Macaca fascicularis: one gene and its partners. The protein of the gene in region 2 interacts with the protein of the main gene of each other region in a biochemical or structural test. Links are inferred from orthologs where the notes say so. Each region holds a gene or a part of one and is shown on either strand. Other genes may lie near its edges. The genes, in order: RPS6KA1, DLG4, FRMPD4, PKP4, RALBP1, ADRB1 and TANC1.

Region 1 (3,500 bases), on a different chromosome or scaffold from region 2:
TCTCCGTCTTACATCAGCCCCTTCAGGTCCATCCCTGCACAGTAGCCAAAGGGAAGGTTCCAACCACAAATCTGCCACCCTGCCCGCACCTTTCAAAGGTGCCCCTCTGCCTTCAGGAGTAAGCCCAGCTTCTCAGTCTGGCAATGGAGGGCCTTGTGATCCTCCTCTTCTCTCTCCACACCACAGCTGAGCCACGTTGGACTTCCCAGATCCTTAAAGGGGTCTCTGAGCCCTTGCACACACTGTTCCCTTTAACTAGATAATCCATTGCTTGCCTATCCTTCAGGACTCAGCTCACTCGCTCCCTCCTCTGAGAAGCCTTGCCTCATGCTGCTTCTCTGGCCCCTGACTCCTACAAAGCTGCACCTGTCACACTGCCCAGCAGACTGCTTAGAGAACTGCTGTCCCTGTCATCAGAGGTGTGCAAGTACAGTGAGAAAAGCACCCCATCGTGGATCATTTGAGGTTAGGAGTTCCAGACCAGCTTGGCCAACATGGTGAAACTCCGTCTCTACTAAAAATACAAAAATTGGCCGGGCGCGGTGGCTCAAGCCTGTAATCCCAGCACTTTGGGAGGCCGAGACGGGCAGATCACAAGGTCAGGAGATCGAGACCATCCTGGCTAACATGGTGAAACCCCGTCTCTACTAAAAAAAAAAATACAAAAAACTAGCCGGGCGAGGTGGCGGGCGCCTGTAGTCCCAGCTACCAGGGAGGCTGGGGCAGGAGAATGGCGTAAACCCAGGAGGTGGAGCTTGCAGTGAGCCGAGATCCGGCCACTGCACTTCAGCCTGGGCGGCAGAGTGAGACTTCGTCTCAAAAACAAACAAACAAACAAACAAACAAACAAAAATTAGCCAGGCGTGCTGGCACATGCCTGTAATCCCAGCTACTGAGGAGGCTGAGGCAGGGGAATCGCTTGAACCCAGGAGGTGGAGGTTGCAGTGAGCCGATATGGCGCTACTGCACTCCAGCCTGGGCAACGGAGCGAGACTCCATCTCGAAAAGAAACAAAAGAAAAGGAAAAAGAAAAGAAAAGAAAAGAAAAAAAAAGAAAAGTACTCCCTCTCCTAAAACATGCCCTTATAGGAGGCCTCCCAGAACATTCCACCCCACACCCACTGTCAATATCTGGCCAAAAAGTTAGGATTCACCCAGCTCCTTCCCAGAAGCTCCTTCACTGGCTCTTTGCAGCAACCCCAGGAAATGAGTGGGTTTGTGGCTGTGCCCTTGTTCCAGGTAAGTACACGGAGGCCCGGTAGTCAGGGCAGCCAAAGCTGATTCCCATGCCTGTCCCTGATCTATGGGCACTGTCACCTCTGCTCAGCCACCACACAGTGTGGCTGGGTCAGATTCCTTCTCCCTGACGTGATGGTAAGCCTGATGTGTTTGGTCTTCCCAGTGGGCTGGAAGGTGCCCCTGGCAGGGGTCCTGACTTTTCTACTGTGGCCTTCACCACCCACACACCCCGACTCCTACTCTCTCACCAGACACAAAGAGACCCACAGAACCCCAGAGTGAGAGAGTCAGGCAGAGTGAGACAGGGCGAAAGTCAGAGTCCCACGGAGCCAGAAACTCACCCGCCTGCCCATCCACACACCTCGGCCTGTCAGTGTCCCTGACTATCTCTGCCCCGCAAGCTGCCACCGACTCCTGGCTTCTCTCCTGTACCAGCCCAAGACAGACAAAACAGATAAGAGACGCACCATTGGGTGTGCGGGACGTGAACTCAGTGTCAAAGTAGAAGGTGTCATCAGGCTGAGCCACTGCTGGCTTGAAGGGTGGCTTGATCTCACGACGGTATAGCTTCTGCACAGTGGGATGGGCACCCTGGTCACCACAGCACCCTCAACAGCCCACCAGGAGCCCCATGCTGGAGGAGGTGCTGGGCTTGGAACATAGGCCATGTTGCCCAGCAGACAACAGCATAATTGCTTGCCCTCAGGAGGCCAGCCCTTGTCTTCAAGGGCAGGCTATGACCCTCTGCTCCTGCGTCTGGGGCCCTTGCTAGCAGAGGCTCCCCTCCCACCACCCTTCCTGTGGCCAAGATGGCCGGAGCCCTGGCGTGGGTGGACACACTCACATTCCAGTCAATGGTGGAGTAGAAGACATGCCGCTTGATTTCCTCTGCCCCATCAGGGCCAGAGCCTGAAAGAGCCCAAATGAAGGGTCTGAGCCTGGGTGGCGCAACCCCCAGACGCCACCCTGCCCACCAAGCAGCCTCACAGGGCTCTGGGACCAGCTGCTGGAGCAGAGGGGAAAATGGGCTCACTCTGCCTCAAATCTACCCAGCCATCACCCTAAGGCCTGTCACCTACTCAGCATTTTCCACTTTCTGGAGCTTCTGATGAAGAAGTTCCAATGTACTAGTGGGAGGAGGAAGGCCCAGAGACTTTAGGCAACTTCTCCAAGGCCACACAGTCAGAACAGAAGCTGAGCTTGCTCTGAGACCTACAGAGAGCCCCACCTCATTCCAACGCAAGCCTCATCTCTGTTCCTCTTATCCTATTGACATTTTCAACCATAGAACAGGTTGTCACTCCATTCAACCCCAGGGGCCTGGACTGGACCTTACACAGCTGGTCATGGACCAGATGAACCCAGGAGCCAGGGAAGCCAGCACACACTGGACACCTACTACATGCCGGCATGTTCACGCAACCTCATTTCATCAACAGAGCCCTGAAGCAAGCTTGGGATCATCATCTCCCATTGAGACGAGGAACCTGGGTGTAGAGAGGTGAAGTCACCTGCCCGGGGTTACTTAGTTCATAAGTGGCCTCATTCATTTAACAAATATTTATACAGGGACTGTTTCGTGCCAGGCAGTGGGGACCTGACACAGAGCCGGGATTGGGACCTGTGCCTTCTGACTCCTGAGCTCATGCTCTTTCTCTTGTGCCAGCAGCCTTGGCGGAGAAGCTGTGTAGGGGCCTCTGTCCTTGTCCCCAGAGGGAGTAGGGATGACTCAGTTCCTGCCTTCCCCCTACACACAGGTCAGCTCCCCCCTCCACAACACCACACATGGAGCCAGAAGGCAGGGTGGCCCGCAGCATTGTCTGCCCACACAAAGCACAACGGCCCCTTTCAGCCCAGATGTGGCCCTGTGGCCTAGGCTGCAGCTGTACCCGGCTCCCCATCGCCACATCCCCTCCCCTGAGCTGGGGCTGCTTACCGAGCCGGTTGGCAGGATTCCGCTTGAACAGGGCCCGCAAGAGGCTCTGGGCTTCGGTGCTCAGAAACTGGGGCATGCCTAGCTTCGCCCTGAAACAGCCCCCGGGACTCATCAAGGCCAAGCCCTGCCCCAGAGGCCCCATCTCCCCCGGCCCCTGTCCAGGTTTAGTTCCCAGCTCGGTCTATACAAGCCATCCACTAATTCACTTCCCAAAGACTTCAGGGTTCCCACCCACAGGCCCCTATGGATGAAAAAGGAAGGTATAATGTTTAACCCAGAGGAGAGTCTCATTAGAAGGGGAATCTGAGGCAGGGACAGGGTAATA
Region 2 (3,500 bases):
TGGCGGGTGCCTGTAATCCCAGCTACTCGGTAGGCTGGGGCAGCGGAAACACTTGAACCTAGGAGGCAGAGGTTGCAGTGAGCCGAGATCGCACCACTGCACTCCAGCCTGGGCAACAAGAGCAAAACTCCATTTCAAAAACAAAATAAAAATTAAAATTAAATTTAAAAATAAGTTAATGGACACACTGCTAAAATTGTATCATTATAAAATGTTCATTACCGGTTCCTGATAACTAGTCTTCACCATCCTAAGGAAAATTCCTCTGTTCCTAGTTTACTAAAAGCTTTCATCCAAAAGAGATGGTGAATTTCACCAAATGCCTTTCTCACGTCTATTTGAGATGATCGTATCGTTTTCTCCTCTCGCTCTGTCACCAGTCTGGTGGGCAGTGGCACAATCATTGGCTCACTGTAGCTTCCAACTTCTCGGCTCAAGTGATCCTCCAGCCTCAGCCTCCCAAGTAGCAAGGAGTATAGGTGTGTGCTAATTTTTTTTATTTTTTGTAGAGACAGGATCTCGCTATGTTGCCTAGGCTGGTCTCAAATCCCTAGCTGGTCTCAAATCCTCCTACCTTGGCCTCCCAAGTGCTGGGATTACAAGCATGAACCACCACACTTGGCCTCCCTTAACATTTTAATATATGAATCATACTGAGAGATTTCCTAATGTTGAGCCATCTTTAGTTTTCTGAAACAAATCCTATGTTATTTCCTTAACATGCTGCCATGTTTGGTTTGCTACTATATTATTATAAAGTCTTGTATCTCTATTCAGAAGCAAAACAGGTCTATACTCTCCTTATTTTACGTTATCCTTGTGACCATTTGAACTGACCTTATAAAATGAAATGTGAAATCTTTTATCTTTCCTATACTCTGGAAGAGCAGAAGAATTATCTATTCCTTGAGAATTTCATAAAATTAGCCATAAAACCAAACAGGTTTTGTGCCTTCCATGGGAGAGATCATTGACGATCTTTTCTAGTTCTTTTATGGTAATTGATTTTCCATCTCTTCTCTGACAACAGCAAGGATCAGAGGTTGTGGCTATTTCTTTTTTTTTTTTTTTTTTTTTTTTGAGACGGAGTCTGGCTCTGTCGCCCGGGCTGGAGTGCAGTGGCCGGATCTCAGCTCACTGCAAGCTCCGCCTCCCGGGTTTACGCCATTCTCCTGCCTCAGCCTCCCGAGTAACTGGGACTACAGGCGCCCGCCACCTCGCCCGGCTAGTTTTTTGTATTTTTTAGTAGAGACGGGGTTTCACCGTGTTAGCCAGGATGGTCTCGATCTCCTGACCTCGTGATCCGCCCGTCTCGGTTGTGGCTATTTCATTGGGAATATCTGAAGAGGGACAGCTACAGGGATGTCATGGGACTGCATGTCATGGGTTAAACGGGATGGGTCATGGGGAGCTTTGGTGTTTGAAGGGCTCTCACAGGTTGTGATGTCTGGGGGAGCATAGCTGTCACTCAGGTAGGCATTGCTGGGCTTGGCCACCTTTAGGTAGACAACATCATACGTGTTCTTCAGGGCTGCCACAGCATCTTCATGCATGACATCCTCTAGCCCCACACTGTTGACCTGGAGTCAAGGAAAGCAAAGCTCAGACAAAGCCACAAATGGCCCAAGACAGATGGACTGGGATGAAGTGATGAACTTGCGCCTGCCAGGGCTAGTAGGTGAGACCCAGATTTGGGCTAGAAAATGGACTAGATGGGGTCCTCACCGCCAGGATCTTGTCTCCAATCTGCAACCTCCCATCCTTGTGGGCAGCACCCCCTTCGATGATCTTTGTTACATAGATGCTATTATCTCCTGGGATGTGCTGGTTCCCTACGCCCCCTGCGATGCTGAAGCCAAGACCTGGATGGAGGGGAGGCCAGAGGTGGGTGCCCAGGTGCCCAGGAAGCAGGCTTGGGGGCACAGGACAGTTGGGATGGGGGAACAAAATGAGTTACTACCTTTAGGCCCCTTGATGAGCTTGATCTCCATGACCTTCTCAGCTGGGGGCTTCCGGCGCATGACATAGAGGCGAACGATGGAGCCTGCCTCTTTGAGGGCCTCCACCGCTGCCGAGTGGGTCACCTCGCGCACGTCCACTTCATTTACAAACAGGATGCTGTCGTTGACCCTGGGAGCAGCAAGGTGGGCCTGAGCCAAGAGCTTCCTGCTGCCCTGGCCCTCCCTCTCCAGGGACCAAGCATCCTAACCCCTGTATCCTCTCCTCACCTGAGGCGGCCATCCTGGGCCGCAGCCCCACCAGGAATGATCTTGGTGATGAAAATGGACGGGTCGTCACCGATGTGTGGGTTGTCAGTGCCACCTGCGATGCTGAAGCCCAGACCTGAGTTACCCTGGGCGAAGGAGGGGAAGAGGGTCAGCTCCCCTCACTGCCCAAGTCTGGCAAGGCAAGTGGGGTGGGAAATGGCTTGGAGCAGCCAGAGCAGGAAGGGATAGGGTGAGGGGCTGGCCACGCAGACCACATGGGCAGAAAGAAAGGTACAGATGGGGGGGCAAGGGGACTGCCAATGGAGGAGCCTGCTCACCCTTTCCAATGTGATTTCCTCGTATTCCATCTCCCCCTCGGTCCCGTTCACCTGCAACTCCAGCACGGGACAGAAACACAAAAGCAGTGAGACAGACATTCCTGCCTCACAACCTGCCCGTCATCTGCTTCCCTCCCTTACTCCCTCCTTCCTTCTGCAATGGCCCTAGCCCCAAAATCTAAACAACTCACATATCCTGGGGCTTCTAGGGTATCTGTGTTGACAATCACAGGGGGAGAATTGGCCTGTTTGGGGAAACAAGAGACAAAAAGCCACCTGAGCCTTGACTCGAGAGGGAGCCCGTAACGGAGGGTCCCATCAGCGTGGCTACCCTTTCAGCCTCTTAGCCAAGCCCACTCTGCCACGCTGAGAGCTGCTCAAGGGCCCAGTCTCACTCCACATCACACACACACGCACACGCGTGCACATGCGCACGCACACACACACGCACAGATGCACAAGCACATGGATCTAACTCTGCCCAGCCCGGGGCCCCCTGCATGTGGAAGGAGGTGTAGGAGAAGCGGGAAGGGAGACAGCCAGACGGAGAGGGGAGCAGCAGATGGCAAAGAGTGGGGAGAGGGGGGTAGGCTTGGGGGAAGGGAGCTTCTCACCGGATGTAACACCACAGGGTGTTACATGCCTTATGTGCTACACATGGACAACCCAGGGATCATGTCCACCGGGTCCTGGTACCCACTTCCTGCCCCATCCCCCCCCATCCCCCCATAACTACCCGGATATTATCATAATCCTCCCCTAGACTTGTCCCTCACCTTCACACACATTTGCCCTAAACCCTGCACCCCGGGAATCCGGGGTTCCCCCAGCTGCAGACCCCTCCCTTGGTCTCACCAACCAGACGTCCAATCCACCCCTTCCTCTAGGGACCGTGTTGCCTAGCAACGGTATCTAGGACCAGCCAAGACCCGGGGAGACCCACCTCCAGGAGGCC
Region 3 (3,500 bases), on a different chromosome or scaffold from region 2:
TCTTTTACATATATGCAATACACATAATGTGTTCTGCACACAGTCAGGATACAATATGCATATAAAACAAACAAACATTCCCCCACATATTATCTTGGGCAGTAGTATATTTAACACAATGATTATGATGATAATAATAGCTAACATTAATTGAATACTTACTCTCTGCCAGGTATTGTGGTAAGAACTTTACATACATACTCAAAAATCATGACAACCCTATGGAAATCAATCTTATAATTGACTTTATTTTATTATGAGGAAATTGAGACTAGAAAAAGTAGCTTTCCCAACACGAAAGGGCTAGAAAATGGCAGAGTCAAAATTTAAATAAGATGTTTCTGACCCCAAACCCCATATCCGTAACAACTCATCCATATTGCCTCCAGAGAGAATAGTGTCCAAACCAGCAGATTGTTGTGATGATTAAATGAGATAATATAGTTAATATGCTTAGCACACTGTCTGACATAGGGCACACATCCTATTAATAAGTTAGGATTTTAGTACACAGAATGATATTTACTAAGATTTTCCACAGTAAACACCACTAATATCTCTCAATATCAAAACACCAATATTTATAATTATAATTGTAATGAAATAATGTTTTATTATTTAGTTAAACATTATTTATAATAACACACGCCTAAACTCCTTTCCTTCGCTGCCATCCATAACCACGTGTGGCTTTTGTTGTTGAGTCCCTGTGGAATGGCTGACTAGAGAGAGATTGCAATTGTGGACTGTGTTATGCCTCCTTCTCAGTAGGCTACAAAAGTAGAAATATTTGCACCTGGTGTACTCCCGTCGTATTCTTAAGGAGCCACCTGTCTAAGTAGGAGTGCATGTAACTTGAGCACTGAATGACCCAGGAAATATATATATATAATATCGATTTTATTTTATGACTGCAGGGTACTTTTAGAGATGTGACAGTCCTGGAAAGTTCTTTGCATTCCATTGGTTTCACTTGAACTGGTCAAATATACCACTTCCATTTCTTTCTTTTTTTTTTCAGATTTCATATTTTTATCAGCCAATCCAGATTAAGTATTTATTTAATAAATACTTAACTATTTACTCATGGTTCCCATGGTTACAGTAGCCATTTCTCCCTGATTTTCTGGAACACCCAAGATTTGAGATTTTGTCCCAGTACTACACTGTAATTCCAAATTTGATTGGCAGCCTTAGCCTCTGTAGAGGCGGTGATGCATGAAGCCCTATGTTGAGAGCTGTGATCTGAGATGAGACTCACAGGTGCTGGTGTGTGGTCTGGTCTACATCACTGAATCAATACTTAATTTTGATGATCATTAAATGTTCCCTTTTGTAAGTTTGCAAATACTTTACTAAATGTCCCATCATTCTAAAGGGAATTTTAAGTTTCATAGTTGAGTTGCGGTGAGGGGAAGATAATGTCTTTGGTTTGTAGATTTTTGACATTTAGTCAAAGCAGATCTTTCCATCAAATAATTAATTTTGGCATTATTAATTCCATACATTTTATGTAATGAGATATTCTATAACTCTAGGTATTACCTAGGAAACTGCCCATCATCCCCTCTGTTCTTCTCCCTGGGAAGTTTTTTAAATGCTAGAAACACTGTGAAGAGCATTTGTGCTGACACAGTAGAATCCACCCCCACCAATTTGTAGCCCAAATAGCAAAAACCCAAATTAAATATGTGGGATTCTTGGAAGAAAGCATCCAGTAACCAAATACTATGAGCAAAAAATTAATTTATTACAGATATAGTCTCTAGTAATTCATAATAGCTTCTTGAATTTTAAATGTCTTTTTGCTATTTCCAATGCTTAAAAATCATAATTTTAAAACATTAGTACTGTTTTATATACATTGTGATTTCTTTTCTTTTCTCTCTCTTTTTTTGTTTTTTTGTTTTACTTCTAAATATGAATGATGTGATCTCCAAGTATCTACTTGGAAAGAAAGGGGATAGGATTCATTGTTTTGCTCTAACATGGTAGAATTTAAAATTTCACATCATATACCTGGAGTTTTAACTATATGAAAAATAGCCAAATGTCATCACTTTCTTGGATATTTCTTTTACGTGTATATATATGTATAATATAAACAGAATACATCTGATTAGTACATTTCAACATTTCATCAATGTGACTTTTATCTCCTATTTTATATAAAATAACAAAATATACAGAGAGAAGAAAGGAGACATCTGTTCATCATACACACAAAGTAAATAAAAGTTCATGTATGGCTTCGTAAAGGTAGATTATGACGTGACTTCCATATTTATTTGTTTAAAAGCCTCTTGAGAGAACGTGTCAGTGTGCTTACGAGAGCGGCCATGGTGGTTGAGTGTCGCACCGAGAATCCAACATTAGGGTCCCCAGGGTTCTTTCCAGTGGCTGCTTCGGCAGCTTTCAGTAGACAAATGTAATTTATGACCACTTCATCGATCTTCCCTACAATTTCCTGCCGCTGTGTTTCTGAGTTCACGACTTTAACTAATCGCATGCAAGCTTCTGTTAGGCAACAGAGCACTTGAAAGCTGGAAGTCATAGCTAGGAGCATCTCCTCCGGGCTTTTCTCAGCCATCGCCATTTTCCTACAGGCACTTCCCAACTGTCTGGACTCAATGGACAACAGTTGCTTGTACTGAGAAAGTGTAAGGTCGTATGCTTCAGGGCGTGACTCCTCTTTCTTCTCCTTTGTTGCCCTGACGAGACAGAGCAGCTCATTGGCATCATTTTGGGCTGCAAGGAACCCATCAGGCATTGCATATGTGCTCTCCTTTAGGGCATTTATTCTTGCAATCCGGGCATCAAAAGCCAGGTTGCTGAAGTCCAAGTCATCTGGGCCTCGCAGGTCTTCTGCCCAGACCTTCAGCACTGACCCTCTGGATAGCTCCCCTCCTTGCTTCTGAATTGCCACAGCCAGACATGGGCTGCTTGGTTCTGGCGTGGCTTGAGTCATCTGTGGTCTATAGAGGCAAGCGACCTGGACGGTGGCCTCTCCTCTCTCCTCCTCTTCCTCACCATCTTCATCCTGCCCTCGGTTCAGGAAGCAATAGCTGAAGGGTCCCCGGCATCTCCAATTGCTGCCCTCCAGCTTCCGCAAGGGTAATGTCCTATACAGCTTTGAGTCTTTATGAGCCACTGGGGACCTTTTGTGAAACCTCCCCTCGGAGCTCAAGTGCATCGAGCTTTGGGAAAAACTTTTGGTGAGCTTCCTCCCCAGGGGGAGTTCTGCTCGCCTTTCAGAACTGGCCTCCTGTGCTTCTGTGATGCCTGGACACTTTAAGCTGACTGCACCCTTGGTTCTCTCTCGGAAGGTCTCCAAATCGACAGATCCGGAGAGGACACTGCTGCTATGTCTCAGAGCCTTCTGGCTGGGGGGTGTCCTGAGGCTTCCCCCTCTCAGATCCGGTGGCCGCCAGCTCACAGCCTCTCCATATGCCTGATTTGCTTGGGAGAAATCATTAGGGTCTTGATTTGGAATTGGCACC
Region 4 (3,500 bases), on a different chromosome or scaffold from region 2:
ATGATTCCTACATCATTTTGCTGCATACTTTTCAGAGGCATTGCAAAAAATATCTAAGCCAAACATACTTCTTGGATGGATGAATGAATAAGAGGTGGTTTCTCCACTAAGAATTTCTCTGAGCTCAAAAATTAAGTTCAATATAAATTCTCCAGGCAAAATTATTCAATCAGAAAAATCTCAAAAGGCTTAAACTTTCCTAGAAGCCATAAAAAGATACTAATTTTACTATGTAAAAATGTTAAACAGTTTTGTATATTAAAACTAAAATGAAATAAAAAGACAAGTGACAAAATGGAAAAAATACTTGAGAAGCATATTATGAGGTGCTAACTTATCTCTAGCAAAAAAAAGCTTTCACAAATTATAAAAATAGACAAAAGACTTGAACTTATAGTTTAACAAAACAAAATAAAGCTGTTGATGAACATATGAAATCTTCAACCTCAGTCATAACTCAATAAAAGCCCTTTAAAAAAATGAGGTACAGCTTTTTACCTATCAGATTGGCAAATATGAAAAACTTGGAATATGCAGCACTAGTGCAGTGTAGACAAGGTATAGAGAAACAGGCACTCAAACTACTGGCAGAAACATAAATCCATGTGTAACCTTCTTAGAAGACAATTCTAAGTAATATCTCTCAAAGTAAAAATACACACATATTTTGATGCAGCAATTCTACTGGATCCCAGTTACCCTAGTACTTATGTGAAATATGCAGGTAGAACAATGTATACTATACTATATCATCTCTAATAGCTAAACATAACAAACAACCTAAATGTCCATTAGTAGGAAAAGGACAAATAAATTGATACTATCTATAAAAAATGAGTCCCATGCATCTATTAAGAATGAAGTAGAGCTCTTAAGACACAGTAAGTGAAAAGAACAAAGTATAGGAGATCTATATGACAGAATTCCATCAGTAGAAAACACAATGTGTGTGCAGATTTGCATGGTGTGTATCTGTAAATGCAAAGAAACATTCTGAAAGTCACATCAACTGTGATGGGACTGGGTGAGGGTAAAAGGCTTTCACTCATTTCAGTATTTTCCGGTATAGTTTTAATTTTTACCATTCGGTATATGTTACTTTTAAAATATAATTTAAAACACTACAGTTAAATTGCATTTTATTTAAAATAACCAAATCTTTACATCATGTGGGAAACCCTCCATGAAAAACCCTGAAGTTGGAACAGCTGTATTAGGGATCCGGTGTCTTACTGCTTTAATAGGAGTGGCATGTAAAGGTAATTTATAAGTGCTTTGTGCACTTTCCATTAAAAGGCCAAAGTCAAGTAGGCGATAAAATTCATATTCTAGTCTATACTACCGAAGTATTTCTAAAGAAAAAATTTAAATATTTAAACAGATATTCTGATACCACCTTTTAACATAACGCTAGGGTATGTTTAGGGGTAGGCCTGGCTGGTAAAAAATATTTCATTAAAAAAAAGTTAGTCAACTGCTTAGAATTCCAACTAATACTTCTGAAATGCAAAAAAATGTACATTTTAAACCCTAATATTTTGAGGGGGAAATATTACAAAAGAGTTGTATCCATTGTAAAATGATTCTATTGATATAAATGTATATAATTTCATGTATTAAGAATTACAGAGCCTGAAAGACAAGTTAACCTTAAGTTCATAGTTTAAATTCTGAGATTAAAAACATGAATGAGCCCTTTCCACCTTTTCATTCTTTGTTTCAGCTTTAGTTACACAGAAGATTTCCTCACTGGGTTTTATGTAGCACTGTCACCTTGTACGCACCTGTCAGGCTGTCTGGCCTGGGTGGAACCATCCTCTCATAAATGTCATACTGCTGCTGTCCGAATTGCTCCATGTCATGAACAGTCCTTTGCAGTGAAGGTCCCAGATGCTGTGGTACGGCAGTCATCCCTGAGCGTTTGGGGGACGACGACCCCACCTGGCCTTGGGATGGGGAAGCTACTCGAGTCTGTGCATCCGTCAGGGTCAGTGGGGACCCCACTCTGGCGGTGGTTTGGTATTGAGGGGTTGGTCCGTTGGGATTGGAGGTCTGCCGGGAGGTGACTGACCCAATCCGCCGTATAGCTGTTGGGGAGGCGGGTCTCTGTGAGTACGGAGAGGCTGCCCGCACAGCAGGTAATGTGGTGGAGGAATATGCACTGGGGTTCAGAGGTCGGGGGTCGGTCACTGACGGAGAGCCAAATCCACTACCCAGAGAAGTTCTCAGTGACCCCCTTGAAGGAGACACGCCTGTGCTGATAACATAAGAAGGAGACTGTGCTCTAGATGGAACTGAACTAACTCTTCTCATGGCCCGATTGGCTACTGATGGCTGATGAAAGGGGGGAAAAAAGAGAATGGGTTTATCCAGGGTTTTGTGTTCATTGCCATTACAAAAGAAATACACATAGCTCACTACAGAACGTGAATCCACTATTTATTTTAGGCGTCTAAGTTTCTTTTCCTTTTTACGCTTTGAGCCAGACATTAATTTTTCCTCATGGTGCTTCAGTTGTTTTACTTTTTTTTTTTTTTGGTGGTTTAAACCAAATGCTAAAATTAACCCATAAAAAGAGATCTGAAGACATTTAATACTCCTTTTTATCTTTACATTTTTAACTATTGCCCATGCGTTGTTCACAGCACATAAAATGTTTTATTCTAAGTGTTACAAGTAATTCATGAGCGTGAAGGGGCACCGGAACAATGTACTTACTTCACTCCCTGTGAGGCAAAGTTTGGCCAAGGCAATACATTTATGTAAAACAAAATTCTGAATATAATTTGAATATATCAGTCTAAATGTAGCTAGTGGAATATTTATCATTGTTTTTCTTTATGGGTTGGTCCCATTAACAAAAGGAACATGTTCTTTCATTGTGGAATAAATGAACATTTGGATCAAGTGTGGGTCTGGCGCTCTCCACTGTGAATTTACTTCGGGGAACAGCTTGGCTACACAGGTGCTCTAGGCAAATTTGTTGATTCCTTTAGATCAAGCATAGCTTCTCCTCACTTTAGCCATTTCTTTTTACCTCTTCCAATCTATGAGTTCTTAGCTTTAGTTGGTGGATTTAAAGAGATGTGAAAAAAAAAAGGCACCCCCAAATCTATTCCAGCAGGAGGAATGGTCAAAGCCTCTGTTGGGTTCTTGGCCTAGCCAGCTGGAAAAGACTAGGTTGGAAAATGAACATTTCTGCCATGGCTGATCCTACTATGAATCTGTTGATTCCTGCAATTACAGCAGGTGCTGGACACTGTTTTTGATGCTGTGCAACAATAAAAAGGAATGGTTGGGCTGGAGAAGGGGCCCAAGGGGAACAGGTATGGGAAAAAGGAGAGCCAACTGAGAAATAAAAACAGACATTAGGGCTCCAGGTTAGAAGCTCAGGACCAGGCTGCTCTGTTACCTCCGTAGTGGTTGCTAGAGTCTAGTTGTCATCACTTTTAGGATGACAACCCACAACCACTTTTAGTTCGGGAAGTAAGGAAAGAAGT
Region 5 (3,565 bases), on a different chromosome or scaffold from region 2:
ACAGATACTTTAATTGTGGAATTTTTAAAGCAAAAAAAAGCAATGGAAACTTCATTTTTATTCTAGACCAGTCTATCCCAGACATGCTAATTATGGTTGGCTGTGCTGAGTCCTCATTTACCGTGTGAAATGCAAATGTCTGTAAATGGCAATGCCTGGGGCCAAGCCAGGCCAGCGGACTTGTATGCAGTTCCCACCGGGGCCAGGAGCTGCTCAGTCCGCAGACCCAACCCAGTCCGCTGGGTTTTGCAAACACACATAGGCTCCCTCTGCAGCAGCGTGGGCTCGTGGAAGGGAGGTGCGCCGCAGCCAGCATGCATGCCAGGGGTCCGGGGTTCTCCCCGTGTCTGCAGAGGTGAGGGGTACAGCTCAAAGAGGTGAGCTGAAAACAAAACACTGTGTCCCCCCTTGGCCTTGAAGAAGTGCCTCAGCCACCTCCTCACCAGCGGCAGAGTACTCAATCTCCTCACAGAAAGAATGGATACAAAAACACTAGAAGCTTTTCTTTTTCCCAAATGGCTGTTGCATTTATTTGCTTGATCAATAATGGTCCTGGCAAAAATTAGTTAACCAATGCTGAGACATTTGTAATGAAATACTAATTTTAAAAATCCATGACACCTTGATAGAAATTAGAGTTTACACAAACAAAAAAGGAACCTTCGATATTGCCAGCAGCTACAAAGTGAATGTACTGAGACCGACAGGACAGCAAGAAGGCATTTGCACATTTATATCTGACACCCGACCATACTTTCAGTCACCAGAATATCTTCTCTCCAGATTTAAAAAAATAGTATGCTGATTTCTATAACAAAGCTTTTTTCCGTACAAAAATCAAATAATGGCCAACGAGTCACAACAGTGCAATAGGTAGAGGATTAAAAACTGCATCAAACAGGTGCTGAAAATAAATACTACCTAGGAGGAGGAGAGAGCCCTCGTGTGGGGTTTGTTTTCGTCCCCTTGAGTGTGTGTGGGGTTTGTCTTCCGAGCCACGAGCCTGGCCTGTCTCACGGTGCTATTCACTCTGACAGAGTGCACCTGCAGCACGTGCCTCCAGGGCCCAGCCTCCCAGAAGCCTCAGAGCATCAGAGCATCCGTCTCATGTCTCATTGGATGGACCAGAGACAAGAAAATAGGGTGGGGCGAATCACAGTTACCATTCAAAGGAAAGGAATTTTTTTCTATTGCTCAATCTTGTCAATTGGGAGTCAGTCCACCAGTAGGTTCACTGAGACGATATGGATAATTTCAAACTTTTGTTTAAGAGCATATATATGGCTTATTCAGGCAAGGAGACGTGTACATTCTAGCCCAAGCAAGCAATCAGAGTCATTCAGTTTTTAAGGAAGGTCAGTCGTTTAAAAGATTTCTGGTTTGAGCAACATCCTCTGTGGATGCACCAGGCCAAGGTGACTACCTTTGACCAACCCAGTGAGAAGGCCTTTGCTGGTCCCCGCAGTGAGGAACCCGCGGGAACGGGCGGCCTCCTCCCCGCAGGCCTGCGCTGCCCAGGGCAGGTGGGCGGGCTCCACAGGCAGCCCGTCTGTGGCCAGATAGGCCGTCCTGGTGACTCGGGCTTATGGACTGCGGTTTACAACTGCAGGAGACAGTTAGGAGGGTGGACCAGGGAACACCCACCAGGCGCTGCTCTGACCAGTCAGAGAACGTGAGGCAGCTCCCCCATAGGGATCTGCACCGAGAAGGTGTGGAAGGCACAAGCAAGAGTGACGGTACCAGAGATCCCGGAGGGCGTGGCTCGCGGCGGCCACAGCAGGCGCAGCGCTGACCTGGTGTGGTTCCCCCCTTGAATGAGAAAGAGATCCTGATTCTGCTGTGATAAAAAAGCAAAGAAAGACGATTTTTGGTTTAAAAAGAAGCCACTCAAGGGTTAAAATAGTTATTTTAAGTTAACAAAAAAAATTAATCTTCAAATAAGCTGACACTATCTGGAAAACTCATCTGTCCCTAAAGCCCACAATGTGTCCACTGCTTCGTCCTCCCATGGAACCTGAGCCTGACGCGAAGGAGTCAGACGTGTGACAGAGGAAGAGTCTGAGAAGAGAAGACACCTTTACAGAATGTACAGCGGGAGAGCCGGCCTGGCCCCCGGGTTACAGTAAGATGCACGGGTCCTTTCAGTCTCGCGGACTCCAGACGGCCGCGCAGGCTGCTCAGATGGACGTCTCCTTCCTGTCCCTGCTGGGCGATGGCTTCGCCGGCTCCTTGCCTGCCTTTGGCTGCTCTTTAGCTGCTTTCGGCTCGAGGACGCCGTCTCTGGGCGGCTGGACGGCACCCCCGCGCCACTCAGGCTCCTGGTCCTCCTGTGCCTGCTGCTCGGCCTTGGCCCGCTGCATCTGGAGCAGCCGCAGCTGCACTCGCAGCTCGATGATCGCCTCGCGCTCCTCATGAATTGCTTGATTCAAATGATTGTTCTTTATCTTGGGGAATGACAGAAAGGGCAGTTACCACTTAAGGAAGTCAGAGGACGATTTCTCAGGAGCAGAGCGCAGTTAGCAAGGGCGTCCTACAGAGGAACCTGGTTTTAAGTCAGTGGGTTGTGAAACAGAAGACACACACAGGGAGAATGCACAGTGCACAGTGAGGGCCACGTGACTCCTCAGAATGTGAGGCTGGAAACCTCGCTCCTGGTTACTGGAGGGAGACACATCCATGTGCCAACCGAAACCCGTCATTTTAATAATTCAGTGTCCTAGTGTTTAAAATAGACAACTCATAACTTCGAACTGGCTTCTGAACAGCCCTTGAGAAAATAAAAGTAATTTTAGCAGCAATTAGAAAGGGGAGTTAGAGATCAGATAAAAAACTAGATTTGTTTCAAAGGTGAATATCCTTTGTCTTTTGTGAATGGCATTACTGTAATTCTGAAATGTCCTACTCAATCAAACTATAGAAAATTACTATCAATTCTAAATCATCTGGACATACTCGGCAGAGTTTAGGTACCGCGGAATAGCAGCGGCCCTGCCCGCCATGGCCTCCACTCTGTGGCGGGTGCCAGCTTCCCTTGCTTGGGTGTGGCATGGACTAGGCTCTGCAAAAGGGGCGTAGACATAAGCACAAGCACCGAGTGCCACGCGTGCACCCTGTCCTTGGCCACTGGGCATGCCTTCTCCCTTCCCTGCTAACTTAGTCCACCCCGCGTGGAAAAAACTGGTGTGGAGGATGATGGGCTGGACCACCTGCCACACAAGAGACACCATCTTGTTTAGACCACTATGTTATTCTCTTTATTACAGCAATTCAGCCTACACTCCAAGTACAATACTTCTGGATTCTGTTTTCCTACTCAGAGTCAGTGGCTGTGTGTGGAATTCTGCTTTTCTATGCAGGGGGTAGTTCTGGTTCGCACCAGCCACTGAGCCAACCCAAATGAGGGACACAGAGCTGTCCCTCTGTCCTTAGATTCCTTTCTATGAAAAGGATGTCTTCTCTCAATCCTTAGGCAAAATATCTGGACACAATCTTTTATTTGGGGTAAGAAGGGAAATTGTGATCTAGACCTTTCTCTCTGCCGCCTTCTCTTCACTGTGCAGCCTCT
Region 6 (4,151 bases), on a different chromosome or scaffold from region 2:
CAGGTTAACAACTCACTAATTTCAAAGCGATTCATTTGCCAACTCAAAAAGCACAGATACAACTTTAAATGCTTTCGGATTTTAATCCTCTGGAGTATTTATATGTTTTCTTGTCTTATCCCTCCAAAACTAATGTCAGAGTTTTGAGAATCTGGGAACTTGGGCAAAGGAGAAAACAAGCACGCAGACCAAGGAATCTGAAATCGCAGTTCATGACGTCAGCATAAACCGACAGTACCTTTTTGTTTGTATTGACCCAGCTCAAATTATAAAATCACATGAGTAATAAAACACAAAATACAGGTGTTGTCACTGAAAAGCCTAAAATGTAACTAAACGCGTTTTCCCCCCTCGCGGTGGTATCATTTACTCTGTATCTCAACGTTTCTGTCTCCCTAAGACTCTCCCTTTATATCGTGAGCACACATTTTTGCATCATGCTCACACATTCATTAGCTAGGACTGAGGAGTGTGTACGATTCCAGCGGGCCCTCAGCGTTAGCTGTTAGATGCACAAACCTTCACTTCCTTTCCACATCTACTGCACTTGAGGTTCAACAGAGGATCCTTGCAAGAACAGCGCCCAGAGAGCATTCTTGACAGATGCGCGCTTAGCTCCAGCAACCCGCTCTGCTGGGAAGTTTCTTCTAACCACTAACACCCACCTCCAATCCCCCAAGCTGTCACGACGCAGGCTGGCTGGGTCCCGTCTTGACGGGGGAAGGGTTTTACACACATCCTGCTAGGCTGCCCCACATCACAACCAAGCTCGCAGGGCAAACTCCTCCAAGCCTGGCGGACAAGCTGTCCCAGGCGCTCTGGCGCTTCCTGAACACCAAGGTCCCCTCCGCGCTCAAGGGAGCTAGCGCACTGTTACGCAGGGAACCCCGGCACTGCAGGTCGAGGGGATGCCGAGGGAGCGGGGGCGCAGCAGGCAGCCGACTGCTGTAGGCAAACGGCGCGCAGGAGGCAAACGAGGCGCAGGAGCCGGTGCGAGAGCGAGTGGGCGCTGAGAGAGGGGGCGGGGCCCCAGGGGGGAGGCGAGCGCGGGAGGGGGCACGGGAGAACAGGGACCAGGAACCAGCGGGCGCAGGAAGGGGTGCGTCCGCAAGAACCCGCGGGCGCACGGGAGGCACTAGCTCCACGATCAGCTCGGGACTCTCAGGAGCCGCTCAATTGCCAACGGGAGGGGAGTGCGGGGAGTTGGAGGTTGGGGGGGCTGACCAGACGGGGGCGTGCCTTTGCCCGGATTGGCTGCAGGAGGCTGACGCGAGGCCCCGGGGGTTGGCTTGGGGAGTGGGAGCGGGGTGGGGTGGGTGCTGGGTGCCGGAGCTGCGGGCCCGGCGCGCTCAGAAACATGCTGAGGTCCCGGCGGCTCTTCCAGCAGCGGCAGCGGCTCCAGCAGCAGCGGCGGCGGCGGCGGCGGCGGCAGCGACAGCGCTCGGCTCCGGCGGGAAAGGCGCCCGGCGCCCATGCCTCCGGCCCCGGGCCGCGGCTGCCCTGACCCGGCCGCGACCTCCCTCTGCGCACCCCGCCGTCCAGGCTTCTGGGGTGTTCCCCAACCAAGGCCCAGCCCTGCCACACCCCCCGCCTCCGGCCTCCGCAACTCGGCATGGGCGCGGGGGCGCTCGTCCTGGGCGCCTCCGAGCCCGGTAACCTGTCGTCGGCCGCACCGCTCCCCGACGGCGTGGCCACCGCGGCGCGGCTGCTGGTGCCCGCGTCGCCGCCCGCCTCGTTGCTGCCTCCCGCCAGCGAAGGCCCCGAGCCGCTGTCGCAGCAGTGGACGGCGGGCATGGGTCTGCTGATGGCGCTCATCGTGCTGCTCATCGTGGCGGGCAACGTGCTGGTGATCGTGGCCATCGCCAAGACGCCGCGGCTGCAGACGCTCACCAACCTCTTCATCATGTCCCTGGCCAGCGCCGACCTGGTCATGGGGCTGCTGGTGGTGCCGTTCGGGGCCACCATCGTGGTGTGGGGCCGCTGGGAGTACGGCTCCTTCTTCTGCGAGCTGTGGACCTCGGTGGACGTGCTGTGCGTGACGGCCAGCATCGAGACCCTGTGTGTCATCGCCCTGGACCGCTACCTCGCCATCACCTCGCCCTTCCGCTACCAGAGCCTGCTGACGCGCGCGCGGGCGCGGGGCCTCGTGTGCACCGTGTGGGCCATCTCAGCCCTGGTGTCCTTCCTGCCCATCCTCATGCATTGGTGGCGGGCGGAGAGCGACGAGGCGCGCCGCTGCTACAACGACCCCAAGTGCTGCGATTTCGTCACCAACCGGGCCTACGCCATCGCCTCGTCCGTGGTCTCCTTCTACGTGCCCCTGTGCATCATGGCCTTCGTGTACCTGCGGGTGTTCCGCGAGGCCCAGAAGCAGGTGAAGAAGATCGACAGCTGCGAGCGCCGTTTCCTCGGCGGCCCCGCGCGGCCGCCCTCGCCCTCGCCCTCGCCCTCGCCCTCGCCGGTCCCCGCGCCGCCGCCCGGACCCCCGCGCCCCGCCGCCGCCGCTGCCACCACCGCCCCGCTGGTCAACGGACGTGCGGGTAAGCGGCGGCCCTCGCGCCTCGTGGCCCTGCGCGAGCAGAAGGCGCTCAAGACGCTGGGCATCATCATGGGCGTGTTCACGCTCTGTTGGCTGCCCTTCTTCCTGGCCAACGTGGTGAAGGCCTTCCACCGCGAGCTGGTGCCCGACCGCCTCTTCGTCTTCTTCAACTGGCTGGGCTACGCCAACTCGGCCTTCAACCCCATCATCTACTGCCGCAGCCCCGACTTCCGCAACGCCTTCCAGCGACTGCTCTGCTGCGCGCGCAGGGCTGCCCGCCGGCGCCACGCGGCCCACGGAGACCGGCCGCGCGCCTCGGGCTGTCTGGCCCGGCCCGGACCCCCGCCGTCGCCCGGGGCCGCCTCGGACGACGACGACGACGATGTCGTCGGGGCCACGCAGCCCGCGCGCCTGCTGGAGCCCTGGGCCGGCTGCAACGGCGGGGCGGCGGCGGACAGCGACTCGAGCCTGGACGAGCCGTGCCGCCCCGGATTCGCCTCGGAGTCCAAGGTGTAGGGCCCGGCGCCGGGCGAGGACGCCGGGCACCCGGGGAGGAGGAGAGCCCGGGCGCCCCGGAACGACTTCCCGGGGGAACGAGGAGATCTGTGTTTACTCAAGACCGAAAGCAGGTGAACTCGAAGCCCACAATCCTCGTCTGAATCATCCGAGGCAAACAGAAAAGCCACGGACCATTGCACAAAAAGGAAAGTTTGGGGAGGGATGGGAGAGTGGCTTGCTGATGTTCCTTGGTTTTTTTTCTTTCTTTCTTCCTTTTTTTTTTTTTTTTTTTTTTCTGTTTGTGGTCCGGCCTTCTTTTGTATGTGCGTGTGATGCATCTTTAGATTTTTTTTCCCCCACGTTGGTTTTTGACACTCTCTGCGAGGACCGGAGTGGAAGTTGGGTGGGTTACGGGAAGGAAGAAGCATTAGGAGGGGATTAAAATCGATCAGCGTGGCTCCTATCCCTTTCCCAGGAACAGGAGCAGTCTACCAGCCAGAGGGAGGAGAATGACAGTTTGTCAAGACGTATTTTCTTTTGCTTTCCAGATAAATTTCATTTTAATTTCTAAGTAATGAGTTCTGCTGTCATGAAAGCAAAGAGAAAGGATGGAGGCAAAAAAAAAAAAATTCACGTTTCAAGAAATGTTAAGCTCTTCTTGGAACAAGCCCCACCTTGCTTTCCTTGTGTAGGGCAAACCGGCCGTCCCCCGCGCGCCTGGGTGGTCAGGCTGAGGGATTTCTACCTCACACTGTGCGTTTGCACAGCAGATAGAACGACTTGTTTATATTAAACAGCTTATTTATGTATCAATATTAGTTGGAAGGACCAGGCGCAGAGCCTCTCTCTGTGACATGTGACTCTGTCAATTGAAGACAGGACATTAGAGAGAGAGAAACAGTTCAGATTACTGCACATGTGGATAAAAACAAAAACAACAAAAAAAAGGAGTGGTTCAAAATGCCATTTTTGCACAGTGTTAGGAATTACAAAGTCCACAGGAGATGTTACTTGCACAAAAAGAAATTAAATATTTTTTAAAGGGGGAGGGGCTGGGCAGATCTTAAAAACTAAAATAAAATTCAAACTCTACTTCTGTTGTCTAGTATGTTAT
Region 7 (3,500 bases), on a different chromosome or scaffold from region 2:
GCCCCTTACATGGCTTTCTGTAATCCTCTTTGTCCTTGAGTCCTGAGAATAACTCAAAGCCATGACCAGACTAGAAAGTAATTTCAATAGGAGACTCTGTAGTGTCCTGTTGGTCCAACAGGGTATGATAATTGAGGTATTACAGAAGTATTAACAGAACCAGATTGGAAATGCTTACAGACAGATCCTAGTGGGGGTAAAGCTAAGGATTTAATGTAACACATAAGCAATGATATTTGAGTTTCTTAGTTTATAAAATTATGACATTTTTCTAAAATAATGTTTCTTTTTTTCTTTTGAAGCACGATTTGCTCCCTACAAGCCACAAGACATTTTGTTGAAACCCTTGTTGTTTGAAGTACCAAGCATAACAACAGACTCTGTGTTTGTGGGACGGGATTGGCTCTTTCACCAGATAGAGGAAAACCTGAGGAACACAGAACTGGCAGAAAACAGAGGCGCGGTGGTGGTTGGCAATGTGGGGTTTGGGAAGACAGCAATCATTTCCAAGTTGGTGGCCCTGAGCTGCCACGGAAGCCGCATGAGGCAGATTGCTTCCAACAGCCTGAGTTCATCACCTAAAAGTATGTGTGTGTTTAATTACATGTGTAGTTTATTAACATAAGAGAGATGGAGGAAATTGCTGTTCACTTAGACATAAAATACCAATTTTCTTCAAGTTGTTGCAGCTACTATATAGGTTTGCAATCGTGTGAAGTAAACTATTTGAATACGTCCCTCTGTCATGATGTGTATTCAGCTATAAGCTGGGGCGAGGCCAGTGTTCCCTGATGTCCTCCTGAACTGTAACCCCTTCTTCCTTTAGATACAGGCAGAGTTGGGCCAGTGAGGCCTGATCAAGTGCTCTGGACAGTTTGGGGCCCTGAGAGCAAGGAGTTGGGCTCCTGGCAGAACAAGCTCAGATGGAGTCTAATGTGGAGTTCTTTTGGCACATTAGAACCTGTTTGGCACAGCCTTCGTCTTCTGTATTGGATTTTCCAAAATTATAAAGACATAGGACAGAGTAGCCAAATGTTTGACTATTTACTTTTTATTTCATATGCAATAAACTCACTCTAAACATGGTGAACAAGTGAATCATGCGAGATTTTTAAGACCCAAAAGAATTTAATAGGTCAGGCACAGTGGCTCATATCTGTAATACCAACACTTTGGAAGGCCGAGGTGGGAGGATTGCTTGAGCCCAGGAGTTTGAGAGCAGCCTGGGCAACATAGGGAGACCTCGTCTCTACAAAAAACTAGCCAGTCATAGTGGTGCACGCCTTTTGTCCCAGCTACTCAGGAGGCTGAGGTGGGAGGATCGCTTGAGCCCAGTAAATCGAGACTGCAGTGAGCTGGGATTGTGCCACTGCACTGTAGCCTGGACGACACAGTGAGAGCCTGTATCAAAAAAAATTTTTAAATGCCAGGGACGGTGGCTCATGCCTGTAATCCCAGCACTTTGGGAGGCTGAGGTGGCTGGATCGCCTAAGGTCAGGAGATCAAGACCAGCCCGACCAATGTGGTAAAACCCTATCTCTACTAAAAATACAAAAGTTATCTGGGCGTGGTGGTGGGCACCTGTAATCCCAGCTATTCGGGAGGCTGAGGCACGAGAATCACTTGAACCCGAGAGGTTGAAGTTGCAGTGAGCCAAGATGGTGCCACTGTACTCCAGCCTGGGCACCAGAGCAAGACTCCGTCTAAAAAAAAAAAATTTAATAGAGGAAGCTGGAAACAGTAGATGGCTGTTCTCCAGGGAGGCGAACCTGTGCTGTCATGTGGACCTCTGAATTTTGGAGCATGTTCACTCCTTACTTATTAAGATATGCCCTGGGGCGAATCAAGAAATATAGTCAACACCCCACCCTGCTCCTACTATGATGTACATAATGAAATGGGTCTTTCTCTGCAGCTTCTGACCCCACTCAGGATCTTCCTTTCACCCCGCTGCTTTCACCGAGTTCTTCCACAAGTGCTTCCAGCACAGCTAAAACACCTCTTGGGTCTGTCAGTGCTGAAAACCAGAGACCAAGAGAGGATGCAGTGAAATATCTTGCTTCTAAGGTAAGCTCTCTTGTTTTATGGGAGCCTTCCAGATAGAGAGATTTGCTAGTTTGGTCTCTGAGAAGTAAATTGGAAAGGGGAGCTTAAAACAGAGACAACTGCTTAATGATAAAGTATAGCTTTTGATGAAATAGTGATTAAATTATCCAAGTAAAAGTATGAATGACAGTATCTGTCTTAAGACATTGGCAGTGGACTTGATCCATGTTAAACAATGGGTTGAGAGTTCCTCAAGGCAGCAGAAGGTAGCATGTGCACTCGCCACAAATCCATGCTTACCTCCATGTGCTCTTCTTAATTTGGTATGTGAGCAGGAAATTGGGAGCTTCTGACTTGACCCAGACCTCTTCCCCTGCACTCTACTGCCTGAGACCTTGGGTTCCCTCGGCTTTGTGACTGAGGTTTCTCGTGAACTTGTAATACAGTCTTCCTTGGCTGGCTTTCCCTTCTTAAATTCATGATCATCAAGATCTTTCTGAAGTTTTTCTTCTGCTCAGCACCCATCACTGGCTCACCAGCCGCACTCCTGCATTAAAGCAGTTACTTCCCTTGCTTCTAGTGGGCTGCTTAAGTTTCCCTGGCCAGTGGTGGTGTGAGTCAGTGGAGCTGGAGAGCTGCTGGAGCCAGCAGCCATGGGGACACATTGTGAGGAGGCCCTGCGGGGAGGTTGGTGAGAGCAGCTGAACAGAATCCTGTTCTGCACCAGATCCCTGTCCCTTCTCCTTCCTGGATGATGACTGCTCTTGGGACTGTCAGCCCTGATGCTTCTGACCACTGGTTCAGAACAGTCCTCTGGTCATGGGTGGGTAATTTGAGATGAGTGATGTAGTGCAGGCTTCAAAGCCATCCCTGCTTACAGTGATTTTCAAACTCCATTGACTGTGACCCACATAAGAGAGACATCTAACACTAGTGATCACTCACACATAATCGCCCACATAACTAAAGCATTTTAGAACTATATTTATTCTTATATTCTATAATATACTCTAGTATTCCTGAGTTTATTTTTAAAAAATTATGGCTCTAAATTGATTTCATGCCTGTAATCCCAGCACTTTGGGAAGCTGAGGCGTACAGATCACTCCAGTGGTCAGGAGTTCGAGACCAGCCTGGCCAACATATTGAAACCTCGTCTCTACTAAAAATACAAAAATTAGCTGGGCGTGGTGCCGGGCACCTGTAATCCCAGCTACTAGGGAAGCTGAGGCAGGAGAATCGCTTGAACCCAGGAGACGAAGGTTGCAGTGAGCCAAGATTGTGCAGCTGCACTCCAACCCAAGCAACAGAGCAAGACTTCATCTCAAAAAAATAAAAAATAAAAGTAAATAACTAAATAAATAGATTTCATGACCCACTGTTGGGTCATGGAAAAAAAAGCAAAGCTGCTTTTGTGAAACGCCGTGCAAGACTGTGGTACTGGACATCTCATG

The links.
Region 1: the proteins of DLG4 (region 2) and RPS6KA1 interact in a test that uses a peptide from one of them, tested with the Homo sapiens proteins (2 studies listed by BioGRID and IntAct). The link is inferred for Macaca fascicularis from reciprocal best matches to the Homo sapiens genes DLG4 and RPS6KA1.
Region 3: the proteins of DLG4 (region 2) and FRMPD4 interact in a biophysical measurement, tested with the Homo sapiens proteins (2 studies listed by IntAct, with this or other methods). The link is inferred for Macaca fascicularis from reciprocal best matches to the Homo sapiens genes DLG4 and FRMPD4.
Region 4: the proteins of DLG4 (region 2) and PKP4 interact in a test that uses a peptide from one of them, tested with the Homo sapiens proteins (2 studies listed by IntAct, with this or other methods). The link is inferred for Macaca fascicularis from reciprocal best matches to the Homo sapiens genes DLG4 and PKP4.
Region 5: the proteins of DLG4 (region 2) and RALBP1 interact in a biophysical measurement, tested with the Homo sapiens proteins (2 studies listed by IntAct, with this or other methods). The link is inferred for Macaca fascicularis from reciprocal best matches to the Homo sapiens genes DLG4 and RALBP1.
Region 6: the proteins of DLG4 (region 2) and ADRB1 form a complex in vitro, tested with the Homo sapiens proteins (2 studies listed by BioGRID and IntAct, with this or other methods). The link is inferred for Macaca fascicularis from reciprocal best matches to the Homo sapiens genes DLG4 and ADRB1.
Region 7: the proteins of DLG4 (region 2) and TANC1 interact in a test that uses a peptide from one of them, tested with the Homo sapiens proteins (2 studies listed by IntAct, with this or other methods). The link is inferred for Macaca fascicularis from reciprocal best matches to the Homo sapiens genes DLG4 and TANC1.

What each region holds. Positions count from the first base shown.
Region 1 is NC_088375.1:208,557,260-208,560,759, forward strand, and holds part of RPS6KA1 (ribosomal protein S6 kinase alpha-1), read right to left. Parts: intron 3,265-3,500; coding exon 3,176-3,264; intron 2,149-3,175; coding exon 2,084-2,148; intron 1,810-2,083; coding exon 1,707-1,809; intron 1-1,706. UniProt on the Homo sapiens protein: Serine/threonine-protein kinase that acts downstream of ERK (MAPK1/ERK2 and MAPK3/ERK1) signaling and mediates mitogenic and stress-induced activation of the transcription factors CREB1, ETV1/ER81 and NR4A1/NUR77, regulates translation through RPS6 and EIF4B phosphorylation, and mediates cellular proliferation, survival, and differentiation by modulating mTOR signaling and repressing pro-apoptotic function of BAD and DAPK1.
Region 2 is NC_088390.1:7,250,563-7,254,062, forward strand, and holds part of DLG4 (disks large homolog 4), read right to left. Parts: exon of another isoform or gene 3,489-3,500; intron 2,791-3,488; coding exon 2,736-2,790; intron 2,605-2,735; coding exon 2,546-2,604; intron 2,354-2,545; coding exon 2,229-2,353; intron 2,131-2,228; coding exon 1,961-2,130; intron 1,863-1,960; coding exon 1,726-1,862; intron 1,581-1,725; coding exon 1,436-1,580; intron 1-1,435. UniProt on the Homo sapiens protein: Postsynaptic scaffolding protein that plays a critical role in synaptogenesis and synaptic plasticity by providing a platform for the postsynaptic clustering of crucial synaptic proteins.
Region 3 is NC_088395.1:12,495,204-12,498,703, reverse strand, and holds part of FRMPD4 (FERM and PDZ domain-containing protein 4), read right to left. Parts: coding exon 2,285-3,500; 3' UTR 1-2,284. UniProt on the Homo sapiens protein: Positive regulator of dendritic spine morphogenesis and density. Required for the maintenance of excitatory synaptic transmission. Binds phosphatidylinositol 4,5-bisphosphate.
Region 4 is NC_088386.1:54,096,581-54,100,080, reverse strand, and holds part of PKP4 (plakophilin-4), read right to left. Parts: intron 2,335-3,500; coding exon 1,785-2,334; intron 1-1,784. UniProt on the Homo sapiens protein: Plays a role as a regulator of Rho activity during cytokinesis. May play a role in junctional plaques.
Region 5 is NC_088392.1:77,888,096-77,891,660, reverse strand, and holds the end of RALBP1 (ralA-binding protein 1), read right to left. Parts: intron 2,445-3,565; coding exon 2,178-2,444; 3' UTR 501-2,177; downstream 1-500. UniProt on the Homo sapiens protein: Multifunctional protein that functions as a downstream effector of RALA and RALB. As a GTPase-activating protein/GAP can inactivate CDC42 and RAC1 by stimulating their GTPase activity.
Region 6 is NC_088383.1:123,086,498-123,090,648, forward strand, and holds the start of ADRB1 (beta-1 adrenergic receptor), read left to right. Parts: upstream 1-1,351; 5' UTR 1,352-1,612; coding exon 1,613-3,055; 3' UTR 3,056-4,151. UniProt on the Homo sapiens protein: Beta-adrenergic receptors mediate the catecholamine-induced activation of adenylate cyclase through the action of G proteins. This receptor binds epinephrine and norepinephrine with approximately equal affinity.
Region 7 is NC_088386.1:54,603,185-54,606,684, forward strand, and holds part of TANC1 (protein TANC1), read left to right. Parts: intron 1-302; coding exon 303-584; intron 585-1,915; coding exon 1,916-2,067; intron 2,068-3,500. UniProt on the Homo sapiens protein: May be a scaffold component in the postsynaptic density.